2 linked regions of the Struthio camelus genome follow. The protein of the gene in region 2 interacts with the protein of the main gene of each other region in a pairwise test. Links are inferred from orthologs where the notes say so. Each region holds a gene or a part of one and is shown on either strand. Other genes may lie near its edges. The genes, in order: BNIP2 and FRK.

Evidence for each region.
Region 1: the proteins of FRK (region 2) and BNIP2 interact in binary tests that used the Homo sapiens proteins (3 or more experiments, as listed by UniProt). The two-hybrid records come from large-scale screens. The link is inferred for Struthio camelus from reciprocal best matches to the Homo sapiens genes FRK and BNIP2.

The regions. Positions count from the first base shown.
Region 1 is NC_090953.1:19,540,121-19,548,129, forward strand, and holds the start of BNIP2 (BCL2/adenovirus E1B 19 kDa protein-interacting protein 2), read right to left. Parts: upstream 3,364-8,009; 5' UTR 3,248-3,363; intron 1-3,247.
Region 2 is NC_090944.1:63,934,041-63,942,562, reverse strand, and holds the start of FRK (tyrosine-protein kinase FRK), read left to right. Parts: upstream 1-5,261; 5' UTR 5,262-6,016; coding exon 6,017-6,444; intron 6,445-8,522. UniProt on the Homo sapiens protein: Non-receptor tyrosine-protein kinase that negatively regulates cell proliferation.

The sequences.
Region 1 (8,009 bases), on a different chromosome or scaffold from region 2:
CATGGCACAGTTGCTGGCAGTGTGTATGCGCTTACGCACCCACACTCGTGGCCCCCAAGTAAGGTCCTTCCAGCTCTCCTGCTTTTCCCTTTTTTTTTTTTTTTTAATAATATGCTGCTTGCAGTAGTTTCTTGCTGCTTGAATCATAGGATATTCCTCAGGAAACGTGTCCTCTCTTTCATTAAGATGCTGACATTTTTAAGCAAAGTCTCCTGCATGCTAACCTGTTAGCATTTATTAGAAACAATTAATTTTTAATATTTGCTTGGAGATAAGCTCATATTTTGATCAATAGTAACAGGTGAATTTATATGCAGTTCTTTCTGAATTTTTGTTTTGGACCACTTAAATGGAACATGGGAGGTTTCCAAAAACATCCTACACAATCACATGAACAGAATAGCGTGGTTACAAACAGCATGGAATAGAGTATCTGACGGTTCACTGAAAACAAACAAACAGATCCTAAACCTAAAAGAAAATCTAAACTGATTACTTCAATCTTAAGGGACAAATCACTAATGAAAAAAACTGACAGTGTACAAACAAACAAGCCCTGTCACTGCGCTGGTGCCTGTGAGATGCTACCCTTGAGCTTGTCTGCACCACATTCACAATACAGTTCCCACAAGAGAGCTTAAAGTAGAGTTTTGCTTAAAGTTTCTCACCACACTTTTGAAGAATGCTGAACATCAAGTAACATCCATTAATTTAAGACATACAGCATTTCAGTGCAGAAACGGTTCCTGCCTACATACGTTTCCTTACATTGAGGTAAACTCAATGCACTAAGACACAGACTTTAAAAGTTCTTTTCAGGAGGTAATAACATTTTAAAATACTCTTACAAAATATTTCCCACATCCCTTGCAGAATTCTCATCAGCAACATCTCATAAAAGTGTATTAAAAACAATTATTTGCTAAAGACTGCACAATTGCAAACAACTTGCAAAGCAAGTTCCAAATCATAAAACTTTTCTTATATAAGAAAATATAAAAGTTATATAAGTTTTAGCCTATTCCATTTCTGCATCCTACTAAACATTCAGATTAAGTAACAATTTGGGATTTTTTGACTTTATTTAAGTCTCACTTGCAAAAGCACTACCATTTAGCAACTAGAAAAATTAGAAATTAAGGAAGGAGGGTAATCTTCAATTTCAGGAAAGTTAGAAGAGTGCCAACTTTCAAGTTAGCTACTGAATGCTTTACATCATTAATATAAATACTTACAAAGCAGGAAAAAATAAATTCTATTATTTCTGCTTCTACAAACTAAAGCAGACTTTTGAATACAGTCTTCCCATGGCTACCGTGGGAGCGCTGACTTCCTGTGTTTTTACTGTGCCAAACTCTCTCATTAATTAATGAGTAGAAGAAAGATCTAGAAAACTAAACTTGAAAAATGTAATATACTGTAATAACGCAATTCTTTATTAGTCACGTAGAAGAAAAGCAAGCAGTTTCTACCTGGTCCTATCACTCTTTGTGGCCAACTCAAAAAAGCCCTGGTTTCTCGGAACAGCACGCTTGCTCATTTTCACTCCCTACTGCTCATTATTCTCCATTTTATTGCTGGAAATGGAATTTGAATAGTCCAGGCTACAAAGGTTAGAAACTTCCACATGTTGGAAAACATATGGATGCAGGACTGCCACGTGGTTCTGCTCTTTTACTGGAACCCCGGACACCGGGGTGTGACAGTGCCTCTTGCACTTGTGTACTGTACCTCCAGAGGCAAGTCACAACATTACAAACGGGGAAAAAAACACCTAACAGGGCAAAACATCACTAAAATCCACTACTTTTCTGCTGCAGCTAATGAAGTTTTCATTTGAAGAGGTTACTGCTTGTACCTGAAGTCAAACAGCACTGTTCTCAGCCCTTTCTCTGCTAGATGAGCGCACACAGTTTTCACGGTTATCCCACCAATACTGTTAGGGCAGGTGCTGCAATACCAAATAGGAGAGCGAAGAGAAGCCTACGGTAAACTGCCGTTTCTTGGTTTGGTTTACAGTTGAACAGAAGAAGTCAACAATATCGCTCTAATTTATCCTAGATACTTAAAAGAGAAAGCGACAGACAACAGAATGCATGAAATCTGTTTTATTTATGAAGTTAAAGCTGCTTTTTAAATAGTTTTCACTGTTGAATTCTCAGAAGAGAAGGAATACACAGCTGAACAGGAGTTAAGCATCTGGATACGCTCACATCTCTCTATCCCAGACAAAGACCTATTTGCAGCCCTTGATCAGCACCGCACTGTTTGAAGTAAAATAACTCTGGGGTTTATTCTGCAAGAGGACTGCAGTGAGTACACGATTAAACTACGTACTACGTGACCTGCACGAAGAACAGCCTGCTATTCCAGTATCAGGAAGCTGAAATTAACTTCAAACAAAGCTAGCTAACTTTTTTTCTACATTTTACCTTCACCATTTCAGAGACGCATTAAATTGAAATCCAGCTTGCAGGCATTAAAGACGTGTAATCTAAGAGTATTTTTCAAGTTTGGTTTCACAGCAAGCCAAAAGCAAGGAACACATATCTGTTTTCTTGCACCCATATCCATATTGCGTAGCTCACCGTAATTCCTAAGCGCTTCTACAGCCCTTTTAAATAGCTTTATAAAGCTTTTAAAACGCGGCCACACTAACCGTAACGCTGCAAAACAGTATCTCCCAGATCTGGCGACAGACGTTTTATAATCAAGACTCTACCACGTACAAGCTTACAAAACGAGGTCACGCAATGACTTCCATTACTAACAGATTACTTCTCAATCTTTTTCCTCCCTTCCCTCAACACGAGCAAATCATAGCGAAACCATCGGGAAAGGATGAGATTTATGACAACGCTCTTGCTCTCCTCTCTGAGGAGGCCGCTTTTGGGCTGCGCTTCGCCGGCGAGGCGTGGGCTGGTCGGGCCCCTGAGTTACAGATTCCTACTACAAGTACTCAGAGCGACAGAAGAACCTTCGCTCCCGAAATCGCTGCGATGTGAAGGCAAGCACCGAGCGGCGAGGAGACCGCCCGAACGGCTGCGCGCGCCCCGCGGGCCGCCCACGGCCAGCGCTCCTCGCCCGACCGCCGCAGCGCCCCGCTGCCCTCGCGCAACCGACAGCTGCCGCCAGGCCCCGGAGCGCCCGCCGCCCCGCGCCACGGGCGGCCCCGCCGAAGCCTGCCGAGCCACAGCAGGCCGCGCCGACGCCCCGCGCCCGCGCCCGCCCCCGCCGCGGGCCGTACCTGGCGGAGGCAGCCGACGCCCGCAGGCCGCCGCGCAAAGGCCCGCGACGCGCTAACCCGGAAGCGGATAGGCCGCCGCGCTCACGTGACGCCGCGCTCCGCGGCCGCTGGGGCTGGGGGAGGGAAGGGGGCGCTGGCGCGCACGCGTGGAAGAAGCCATCCGCCTCACCCGCCCCTCCCAGCTCCGGCAGCTGGCGCATGCGCACGCGGTCCTCGCGCGCCCGGCCGTTGGGGGCGCGCGGGGCGTCCGTTGGCGCCCCGTGAGGCGGCCGCGGCCAAGGGCCCGGGCGGGCCCGCGTGTGCTGCGAGCGCTTGAGGGACGCCGAGGTGTGCGTGAGGGGCGAGGGCGGGGCTTCCTCCCTGAGGGGCGGGAGAACGGATACAACGGGGAGTGCGTCCTGGGGAGGCGACGGAGCGGAGGTGCTGAGGGAGAAAAAAAGTCCCAACCTCATTTGGAATTACAGCTTCAGCTATTTAAGTGTCAGGTGTGGCATCCAAAATACTGTCCTTCAACACGAAATAATTAATTTCCAGATTTTAATATTACAGAGGCAGGATAGAAGCATAGGAAATTCGATGAAGCTCGTTGCCATCATAATCGCATACGTAACGAAAGGTGATGATGGAGACCCGTTTTGGCCGAGGTCTCTGGGAGGAGGGGCTGGTTTTTGGCTGAGGTAGAGAGGGAGGTCTGTGTTATGTTCCCCCCCCCCCCCCCCCCACTGGTGACTGCCCTGCCTGGTGTGGTACGGGTCAGCAGGACAAGAGAACGCTTACAGCACAGGGATTTTATCATGCTTAGGGTGAAATGTCATGAACACTAGCTGATTTCTACAACGGGGCTGTTGCTGGAAAGTGAATACACGCATTCCAAGCGTATATGCAAACAAATTCAGATACATGCAGAATTGGCCACTCACTCACACATTGCTATGACACTGAGACAGCTACTAACTTCATTTTTACTTCTCACTGCCACTGTGTTGCCCAAAGGTGAAAGATGCAACAACAGTGACAAGTTTGTTTTATTCTAGGGTAGAGAAGAAACTTGGAACAAGCGTGACAGATGCGGAGAAGAGTGGGAAGAATTAAAGAGATTTAAGGGTATAAGAACTGAATGTAGGAAAACGTGAGAAAAGGAAAATATTGCTAAAGAAGAAGAGAACTCTCAGCCCACAAACCCCTGAGCAAAGGTAAAGTGCAAGAATAACTGGGGGGAAAAAGCAATAATTAAGGTAATTAGAACAGAGAAAATACCTGTATCAAGAATTAGCATCATGCAAACAGAGTGAGGCCTGTAGGCAGTACTGTAACATAATTATCAGGTAATAGCTACAAACACAAAGTAAGAGCTAGCTTAAAATATAAAAAAATGGGTATGCAACGACTGGTAGGAGAAATACAGTAACAGTGAGCCCAAACAGCAAAAGGGAACAATATTGCATTCTCCCATCTTTGTTCTGTCACCATTTTTTATTTCTGGAGGTCAGAATGCCACAGAAGATGACCAAAGAGCATTATTTAGTGCTTAAGAACATTATACTTTTCAGTCTGCTCCCAGCTGCACACCAAACTTACCATTAGTAGCATACCTACTTTGGAACATCCCTTGACCATAGCATCCCAGTTTTTAAATGGTGGAGATCCACTTATGTGACTTCTGTGATCAGTGTGTAATAAAGTACTTGTCACGGTATTGAAGACTGAATGGTTAGGATCAGCGGTCTGTTGAATCAAGAGTATCTGTGAACAGTGGGAATTATTCAGACTATGCTGGGTCTGACTGAGCTCCGTAGATCAAGGGTCTCTGCTTCTTGGAGAGGAACATTACATTATCTGAAAGAGAAGTTCCCTTGTATTGGCTGGTCAGTTGACATTGAGCAAAACTTACCTGCGAGTCTGAAGCCTGAAGAAACTCTTACTTTATAAGCTAATTGAAGTTTGCAAAGTGTCAGAGTATAGATTTTCAGTCAGTAGTGTCCTGTTTTCGATAACGTAGAAAATCAGATTAAATTGTTCTGTAGAGAATAATTTTCTTACCCAAGAAATAATCTTCCTTGTCTTTCAACAGCAAGCCGTAATACATAGAGGGCCTTTATTTATTATTATTTCAACAGTTTGAAAGTTTTCCAGCAAATTAATGCTTTTACAGAAACTAAGTTTCATGCTAAATATTTTAATGCTTTCCAAAATGTGCTTCAGTTTTTGATAAAATTCAAAACTGTCCTTAGAATACACAGATTGTCATATTCTGTAAGGCATACTAACTCCAAACTCATTTTGCGAGGGTCAGCAATGTCATGCAATTTCTCATCTCTTACACGGGGTGGCACAGTATAGCTGGAAATCTATCGATATTCCTACGTAACCTAGAAAACAAGCAAACAAGGGGTCAGAGCTAACTACTAGGGAATGTTGAATAATTCTATTTTTAAACATCAGACCATTGCAAACGTAAGCAGATTTTTATATGAAAGCTTTACCAAAGAGAATAGGCTTGTAAGAATAATGCTTTGTCACATTAATTTTGTCCTGCATACCACAAAAAAAAAAAAACCCACAAACACAAACAAACAACCACCAACTGTTACACAACTTTCGGTCTGGTGTAATTCACAATTAACCTTTAAACATGAAATAGTCATGAAAAGCAGTAGAACACCAAAACATTCTAATTTTTCATAGTCTTTTCCTCATTTAACTTATAAGAAAAAAATTTCTAGTAATGTAAAAAAACCCAACAAATTAAGACTACCCCCTTTAAAATGGTTCATGCAACAACTCAGAAATGTTGGAATTTAAAAACACTCATTTGAAAGTCCATCTTTGCTTGAAGGTTGGACATAGGGACTGCAGTGATATGTAATCCCTCCTTGCCCTAGGCAGAAAGTAAGAATACTGGATTTTATTCAGTCTTATCTTGCCCTTTTTTGATGACAAGGTCTTTGGGCTGTAGTTTACCTCTACTTCTGTATTCCGCGTACATAATAATTTGTCTCCCATCTTATTAGACATTTTTTGCGATTCAGAATGACAAGAGCAACACATTATAAAGTAATAACTTTCATATATGTGGGCAGGGACTAAATAGTGCATAATGTTTTGAATCACTTGTGATATTCCTGTAGGGTACATCATCATCTCTTTAAAGCCATATGAAAGCTATTGAAATCAGTTGTCAGGATGGTGTAACTAGCTAAAGGTGATAGTTGCATCCTCTTTATATATCATGTGGTGAAACATGGTGCAGAGTGACCCTCCCCACAGTCCTCCTGTGCCCAGTTTACATTATCCCAAACCTGTTTGAGCTACTTCAGCTGGAACTCGCAATGCTGTAGTGGGCCATTCCTCTTCATCAGACTTACACTTCATACCTCTCCGAGAGCTGGGTGCCCTCCTTATTGCTTTGCCTTATTCTTTCTCTGAGCGCATACCTTCTAGCTGATGAGAGGTCAAGGCAGAAAGCAAGTCTAAGTGAAGGTCTTGCGTTCGGAATTCAGCTAAGGAAGTACAAGGATATAAAGAACGTGCACCTTTAATAACAATCAAATCAACCTCTTGACCTTTGCTATTTCAAGGCCATAGCTATTACTACATTCAAAAGAGACTCTTCATTCCTCCCGTACAGGATTTTAAGTTGTTTAATACATTTTTCTTATCAGCAAGCATCAGTTTGTTGATATGAGAGAGAGCAAGAGCCAGCTTGCTAGCCGTATGTCTACATTTGTGGGAGGGGATAGTGATTAACTTGTTTACAGAAGTTATTGGTACTCTTTATTAGTGTTTAAATAAGATTTCTGCAGGTGAAAGGTACTAAATACATTACTCTTAATATCATATTTGCAGACTACTGCATTCTCACAAAAGAGTAGTTACTAATCCCAGTTCTCACTTGAGTTGAAAACAGAGATAGCAAGTGCTCATAGGCTGACTCTATGGGAATAATGTGGAAAATAAAAGCAATAGGAATCTCTTGCTTCTGCCTTTTCTGGATAAAAGTCATTAGACAACTAATGCACCAGTATACTTGCAGGCAAACATTTGGCTCATTACCATTAACTTGCATTTTTAAATTTGTACTAGAACTTGTTCCTATCTCAAAAAAAGATGCCGGTAACGTCCGTTCTCTGAGGTTATTTTCTGCGTAATTATTTTTGACCTGTTATCATGCTTTGTAAAGATGTCTGATCTTTGCCATTTGCAGTATTAGCTTAAGTTTACCATAATGCTGTGTTCATAATATAATTTTTATTGTATTGTGCTCAGAATCCAATATAAAATGTGGATGACCGGCACTGGGAAAATATTTATCAAAAATCTGCAACTGCCCTCAAATAAAACTGAGTTCTCCATTTGCTTTCCTGTGTGTACTGGTGGTCAGGCTGTTACTCATATTCGCATACTATATGAATTCAGTGATACTTGGTTCAGATCACTTCTTACAGTTGCTGAAAAAAACATGAAGTACCCTGTTACATGGACAGAAGATGTCTTTGCTGGTTGAGCTTGAGGGGAAAACTGGGTACAATTATATATTCTTTTAATTATTCATGACTTGGGTCTGAACATGTATACGTTTTTCACTTATTCACTTTATAAAATTCAAAACTAAGCCCAGAAGCAGTTTTATTCTTGGCAGCATGACAAGTTTCCTTTCCTCAACAAACCAGTCAAAGGAATTGTTCCTCAGAGAGTTTGTCATCCCTACGTATCCCAGAGAGTCGAGAGGGTAGCAGGCATTCATTACACCCCCATCACATGC
Region 2 (8,522 bases):
GTGGAAAAAATCATTATTTTATCCACAAGTGAAATAATGAGTACAGCGCTTTGCTTCATTCCTTTCCATCCATCCCTCTATCAGTCTTCCATTGGACTCTTTGCCTTGATGTTTCTCCTTCCAGTTTCTGAAGATAAAGATGCTAAAGTCATAAGCATCTGATAAGATATGATAACGATGCTCATAAGTCATCCATGGCATAGTGCGCAGAAGTTGATAGAGTTATGTGAGAAATGAATTTGTCCCATCATGAAGTCTTCACAAAAAGATACACTTTTTAAGTTAAAAAAAAAAATCTCTATAACAGGATCAGTTTCAGAAGAGATTTGCTTGGAAGAATGGCAGACTCATGTTCACTGAGAATTCTTTGATCATCCACTTGCCATATTCTTCCTACCCAGAGACAGATTTGATTACAAGTATTTTTCATGCCTTAGAAAATTACAGAATGATTTTATACAGAATGGCTGCTTCATAGAAAGCAAATTAACTTACAGTTTTTAACACTATGGGCTGTATATCAATTAGAATAATGAACAATAAAATGAAAAATAGTGGCTCAGATCAGGTCCCATTGAAGATAATGGCAAAACTCATTAAATTTAGGAAGAATGAGATCTGATTGTTTGCACAAACAGAAAGTCACATACACTAGTTCACTCCTTGACAGAATCTAATTCCTCTGTGTTCATTTGTTGTGAGACGTAGCCTGTATTAGGCCCCAATTCAGCAAATAAATAAGCAATCCACATCACTAAAGCACTTGAAAATGTACTTTTAAAGCTGTCTAGAGCAGAGATGGATTACTGGATCAGCTTTATAAAAATAAATAGCCAGATTTTTCTCATTACAAATGCACACAATTTAAAGTGGAAAATACAGGATCAAATATAACCCTATGTCTTTGTAGATTTATGGTTTAAGATCACACACAAAAGGGGAATACGATTAATCAATAAGGATAAACAATTTCATCAAGAGTAAAATTACATAAATAATTTATTTTCATTGAAAAGAACGGCAATTTGCAAATTACAGAAACAAAATGGAAGGGCTGATTAAAAGGATTATAAAAAAGCTACAAAGTGGTGGTAATGTGTTTCTTTCTAACGTGCAAATGAAAAGAAATATTGCTGGAAAGACAGCTGTAATAAAAAAAAATCACTATGCTTCATTTTTATTTGTTACTTTAACAACCAACACAACTTTAAACTGTTTAATCACTTGAATTATTTACCACACACAGATTCATAGCATTATATATTTTCTTTTCTTCTTTTTTCTTTAAAGATCATATTATTGGAATATTTTATTTACCTAGAACCTTTAACTTGCTTGATCACAATGCATTAAGGAGTTAGTTTCTAAGAGAGGTATATTATTTCCAAATATGTAAATTGCCCGATGTATTATTGGCAACATTTTAACTATTGGTTAGAAGAAGATTATACAATACCAAAAATGATGCTGTGGACAGCAGTTTCATACATTATTTAATGATAGTTCTTGTATTTTATATTTTCTTAATTCCTTAGTTTTCAACAGAGAAGGGTTTTTTTTTTGTTTACAAAATTTAAAACAATTATAGAGGAAAATGTTTGTTTCTGTTGCAATCTTATCTTATTAATAAGATAAAGCGCTTTCTTTTTCAGTTTCCAGTTTGGACTGGCTCATATTTCTTAACCAAACTGCTGGTTGATATTGCTTTGGAATATTCATTTTCCCCAACAGAGAATACAGTTCTGACTGTAATTCTTCTCTGCATGGCATAGGGGACTTGTTTGGAACATCATGTATCATCAGTACTAAAGCCCGATACTCAGTGATGTTCAGTCCCTGCTTCTGAAATATAGAGCTGAATTTTTATGAAATGAAGGAGGAAATGTTCATTTTTTCTAAAACTCTAAGTTATTGCATAATTATAGCAATGGTTCTATAAATATTACAAACAATACAATAAATATAGGAAATATCTACAATGAAAACTAATAAAAAACAGTTTCGAAAGCATGGAATACAAATACAAATTCTATCAAAACAACACTTTTGAAATGTTATGTATTAATATGATTTAGTCTGTTACTTCTGTTCATGTGGAGCAGTAGCTCATTCCAAGAGCAGTTCAGCTAATATCAGTGTTTCAGATTAGGTTTGTACGAGTCTTATTAAACCATAACATAACAACACATTATTCTTCTGTCCATTCAGGCAACTGAGAGAAATATGTTTCACCACCATATTTAAACATGATTGTTTTGTAGTATAAACCAGGCCTAAAGCGAATTTGATTTAATGAATTTAGTGGCATGCAAAGTAAATCCTTTATGACAGAAGGATCGCAAGTCTAATGCAATGTTTGCAAGACTAATTTATTTATGGGCTTTGTACGTACCATACAGAACATAAAAAGTAACTTCAGGTATGTGTCATCTTTGAACCAACAGTATCAATGTGGATTTTTTTCATTATGGTATAAGGAAATCTACTTCAATAGCAATGGGGAATTACACATTTTGAAGGGGAAATGGACTATTTGATTGAGTAGGTTCTTTTCCTTTTCTAAAATCTAAGTTTATAGGATCCTGTCAGACACAGATGGAAAATGATCCATCTTTGTTTTAAGGTGTTGCATATTTCAAGAAATTACTTCCAATATTTATGATTTCTTTAATATTAATATAAGGACCAGAATGCTAAATTTCAGGATCCATACTGTAAATGTGCCATTCTGTCCATGATAAAATCATCCTTCTCTCTAGCCATTGTCAGTTGTAAAAATGAGGTGAGACTCTGCTGTCCTTCTCAAAGCATTTACGCTAATAAAATTCATCAATATACCTAATTAAGTCTTTCACAGCCACTATACAGACAGTAGCTTATTTATAGGGACGATTTCTGATTTGACATTCAGCCTCCAAAATAAATGAAATAAAGAAACAGAAGGCCAGTGAGTAATACTGATCTGCTTGGTCTCCTTTTTCAGAAAGAAAATATTCTAGGATACCAGGGGGGGAAAAAAACCCACCTACCCACCCACCCCCCGCCCACCCCCCTCCCCCCCCCCACAAAGTTGTTGCAAAGATTATCCTATCAAATGATATGCAATACCAGCACACAAGACTTGGTCAATAGTTTGTATTCAAAAGCTGCTAAATATACAAGATTATCCTAGTTTGTTCAAAACTATGAGCAGCATGTAAATGAAGATAATAGGATTTTTGTTTTCAGCAGAAACAGTGAAAACATTTTTATTATGTGTTCATTTTGGTCTCACCTGTGATAAAATTTTGTGGTCTCTAAAACATAAGGACTAGTGCTTTATTTTCAGAAATGCGGAGAATTCTTAATAAAATCACTAGGATGGGCAAAAACATTTGCAAAGACAATGATCCAGTGTGACTACCACAGTTTAGCTGGAATGAGACGAACCACATTTCCAGCCCACACAGGCCCTGGAATTTGCAGAGCATTTCTCAGCAGACCTATTACCCATCTGCTTCAGAAACTGTCTCCTTTGCATAATCTTTCCTTTCTCTCTCTCTTTTTTTCTAATTTCTTGAATCTGATTAACGAATCTCATGGCTATTTATTGAAGTCTGCTTGCTTCATAAATAGAACTGATCCTAAAGGGTTGATTTGGAAGGAAATAATCTAGTGTGCAGTTATTGACCGCTTTCAGAAAAAGTCTTTCTCATCTTGTAAAGCCAAGCAGGGGCATAAATTGGGAGAGAAGATGAATTTAATGCCTGGGATTGTCTGAGCTAAGATATTCACATACAGAAATGTTTGCAAGCTCAAGCCACAATTTCACTACAGTTATATAAATATTTATCTGAGTGGTCTCAGTGTATTCAATGGGATTTCCAATGTGTGTATTGGTACTGGAGGGCAAAGATAGGTCTTAATCTTGGAAAGAGCTTGTGCATGAGTTTGATTCTGTACTAGGTAAGTAGCTTCATTGTCATGATGGAACTATTTTGTGCTGTAAATGCGCATGCAAATCTTTGCCAGCTTAATGCCTAAGTTATGGGAAACATGGAACACTTTACAGGAAAAGCCTATCAAATCCACACATCTGAAAACTGAGAAAACAGAGATTATGTAATAAATCTTTTCTAATGTTTCCTGATCTCAGTAAATTTAGATAATTCTTGAAACAAGACTAATTAAAATAATTTCCCATTCAAAATAAGACTTTTCAGTCTTTGGATACTGTCCAACACACTTATGAAAGCAAATATCTATTGGCTGTCCATATTCTTGTTAATGTGGTTAAGAGCTATGTGACGATTCACAAGCTGAATATGATTTTTGTAACATGCTATTTTTGGTTGGGCCCAAAGGATTCATTACAGATTATGGGGTTTAGTAATCAGCTGGTGTGCGTGGTATTTTCCCATTTATTCAGTTTCCATCGCATCATTGCGGAAGAGGAGCAAGGGACCCAGTTGCCCATCCCTCTTTGGTGGAGATGCCTCAGGTAGTAATACGCAGACAGCAAAAGCTTCTTTCAGATATCCAGCAGCCACAAGTCCATCACAAGGCTGCTCGTGCCACCAGTCTCCACTCACTCAAAGGACTGACTGAGAGACATGGTGAAAACAGCAGTGGCCTCAGTTTCCTTGTTCCTTCCAGTAAAGTACAGCAATAGCAGTCAGCAACTGCAAATGGAGCAAAAAGGAGACATGAAAATGATTAAGGAGTTATTGCTAGTTATTGCTGATAAGAAAATTGATGAAGCTGCTTTTCTTTATCTCCAGGAAGTGCCATTTCTTTGCGTGGGTTGTGTTTGCCCTATTTTGCCTCTTACCGAAATGTCACCGTGGGGCACAGGCAAGCTACCTCTTCTGCTTCTTGCTCAAAACATTACATGTTCCCCGCACTGTGGTGATTTGCAGCTGTGATAAAGCTTGGCTAACACTGCTGGGATGCAGGAGATGGCTCTCCAGGCTGCTTTGCCTTGGCAGCATCCAGACGCCCATTCCGGGTGTGTCTACCAGTTTATAGGTGCTTTAGAAACGGACCCATACAGGCTAGCTTAGTTTCCATTGGTTTACTTGCTGACTGGAAGACCACCATCTTTTTTTATGTGTGGTTGGTAAAGTTAGCTAACCCTTTAAAGCAATTCTTTGGCTAGTGACTTTGCTCTTTTAAAATGCAGAATAAGGAATGAATTAAAATCTATTACTGTTTTACTGTAAGTCCCATATATTTATTTTTCCTCATACAAAGTGCCAAACCCAGCTCATTTGGAAAAAAAAAAGAAAAGAAAAGAAAAGAAAAGAAAATAGCCAGAGGACTGTTTCAAAGCCCTGACCTTCAGCAGGAGGAAATGCCTGTGTGTAAAGCAGGCACAGAAACAGCAGGTGTGCTCCAGGTGAGGGCGCCTCCCAGCCTCAGGCATGCAAAGGATTCCCACCGAGAAGAAAAACCGAAGCAAACCAGGAAACAAAAAGAAATATTCAGCCTGTCCACGTCGGAGACTGCTAAAGAAACAATCAGGTCAGCTTGGTTAATCATTACTGAGACAGACTGTACAGAAGTTCACAGCTGATCACACAGAAGAAACCTGTTTGCCATAAGAAAACTCCCCTCACAAGCAGTAAGAAATGAGAAGCCTCCCACATCAGATCTTCTGAATTTGTTTTTTGCTGTAGGAGAAAAGGACCCATGCTCTCCTATTGTTCCAAGACTTCAGCCCAAACACAGTTCTTTTGTTGCTTTCCTGTTCAGAAGAGGAAGTGAGAAATTTCCCTCCACATGTGCTCCAGCGCTTGGACGCTCAGGTTTCACTCCTGAATCAGGAGCCGCCTGTAATGAGCTCCCGGTGGGGCTTGGAGAGAAGGTTCAGCTGGGGCAAGAGTTGTTTCATTTTGTGCCAAAGGAGGAGGAGAGGAAGAAACGCTGCAAAGAACTGAAATGTTGATGGTGCAAAAAGTTGTCTAAGAGTATTGCAGTTCGGAAAGTAAAAGAGAAGAAGAAAACAGAGGAAGGTACAAAGAAATAGAGCAGCAGGATGGGAAACTTTTGTCAGAGGCATTGCATCTGTTTGCAGCCCTGTATCCCTTGCGTATTCTCACGGGGAGAAAATGATCGGAATGAGGTTGGCCAGGTCTTCGCCAACCCTGCTGTCACAGGAGATGCCTTCCAAACAGGGCAGAAAGACAGATACAGTGAAATAAGAGGTAAACCTTTGCCTTCGCTGCCTGGGGAGCATCTGGTGAATACTCGCAGATTTGTGGCACTCTTTGACTATGAGGCTCGGACTGAAGAGGACTTGAGCTTCCAAGCTGGCGACAAGCTTGAAGTGCTGGATGCTTCCCACGAGGGCTGGTGGTATGCTAGGCTCCTCCTGCCGAGGGGGTCAGTCTGTCCCGGCCGCAAGCTCCAGGGCTACATCCCTGCCAACTACATAGCTGCTGACCAGACCATTGAAGCTGAACTGTAAGTAACCTGTGTAACATACACTGCAATCTCTTTTCTGTTAGTTTAAACTGGTTTGGAGCAGACTTTTATGGCTTTTTATTTGCTGAGTAGGACCCTGCCACACTCAGCCTCCTTGCGTGTGTGAGGAGAAGACGCCACGGTCTCAAAAAGATCAATTATAAGGGGTAAAGTGTTCAGGTTTTGGTTTAAATTATTTCCCTCTCTGATATGCCCTAATTGCCTGCTCAAGAAGCATCTGGGAATCAGGCTGGTTACCACTGTGAGAGCTCACTGTTGCTATTGGTATGAGAGTAAGTGTGTGTTAGATGCTTTTCAGAAAGTAAAAAGAAATAACCCCTGCCCTAAACAGCCTTTAGTCTAACTACGTGCCATGTTAGCAATTAGTCAGAGTTTCAGGAAGCTACCTTTATACCTTTAGATTCCTGTTACAAGTGAGTCTCTAAAAGATAACTTACTTTCTCATGGTTCCCACTGAACCATTTCTTATCTGTAAGCAAATCCCTGCTCCCAGAACAAAGTTAACCGGAGTAAGTACTGCAAAGGAAAAAGAAAGTGGATATAGCAAAGGAATGCAAATTAGATTTGTTTAAGTTTCACAGAGCTTAATTACACAGCCCATATTTGTCTGACCCTTGAAAACACATTTGATCATATTTAACATTCAGAACTGGACCAGAAATGACATATAATAAGTTACTTAGCTCTCTAGTGAGGATGAGTGGTGATGAATCAGTCTGGGATGCAGTTATTTTTGTGTGTTGCAATCAGGGGCAGCACTTACTAAAACAGCACTGACTGCAATTCCAGAAATATGTGCATGCAAATTATCAATATGGAAAGAGACAACAGAAATAGCATTCTTAGCTTGCAGAAATCATTTTGACTAGAAACTGTGTATATCTCTTTACTCATCATGTCCAAAGATTTTCTTTAAACCTGAGAGGAATGACATTGCAGTTTTTCAGTTAAAGCTCCTTTGGACCTGAAACATCACCTCTGATCTGATCCGTGCACTGTATTTTCTAGGGCTAGGATAATTGGCTTAGATATGATTATGCCAGTCCTTTATCAACTGTAAGATTTGTTCAGGAGGCATCTTAGGGCAATTGTAACCTGAAAACCTTAATTTCCAGAAACTGACCAGCCATTTCTTTTTCTGTGTTCAGGCAGACAATGTTTTCAATGATCGTGTTCAGAAGAATTCTTCCAATTGCAGAAATTAATCTGCAAGGAAGGTGGTCTTCCGAACCACTGGAGAAGTGGTGGTAGGCTATAATTCAACTCAGCTTGACCTTCAGACTCTTTCAAGAACCTAGTTTTCTCAACAAGTCATCTACAATTTCTACTTGCTGTTAATACTGTGAAAGTAACTTTGTTCAGTTATACAGCAAAGTCTCAAGTATCAGCTCTTAAGATCCTTCTTATCTTTCTAGATCTCCAGCATCAGATATGGAGTTAACTTTGCCAAAGTGCATTGCCGAATAATGATTTTTTTGCTTTTTATAGAAAAAAAAAATCTTTATATACTTCTCCTCCTTTTTTAGTAAAGATTAAATTTTGATAACAGATTTTTGTTTATAGATTCTTTTTTTTAGAACAGTTGAGAAGAAGTGTGAAGCTTGCACAGCACTCGAAGTCATTTCTTCAAAAGTTTGTCAGTGCTTTAGTGTAATACCAAAACTAATCTGGCTAAATATGTAGTCTTTTCTCAGGTATTCAGATTTCCTGCTAGGTCAGTTGGCCTTAGTGACCTTCAGTAAAAATAAGTACACAAGACTTTCTTGCATCAGGCCCGCAGATATCCTTTCGTATAATCATAGACTAACTTAGGTGGAAAGGACCTCTGAAGGTCACTCGCACCAACCCCTCAACTCAAAATGTGGCCAACGTAAAGTTAGACCAGCTTGCTTAGGGCTGTGTCCACTTGACCTTTTCGCCCTTATGGTGAGGAATTTTCTCCGTATTCCAAGTGGAATTTTCCTTGCTATAATTTCCTCTAAAACTTCACCCTCACCTATGCTCCACCTTTCATATGTCTGTTATTCTAGTGAAGAAAATTAGATGAAACAATAAGA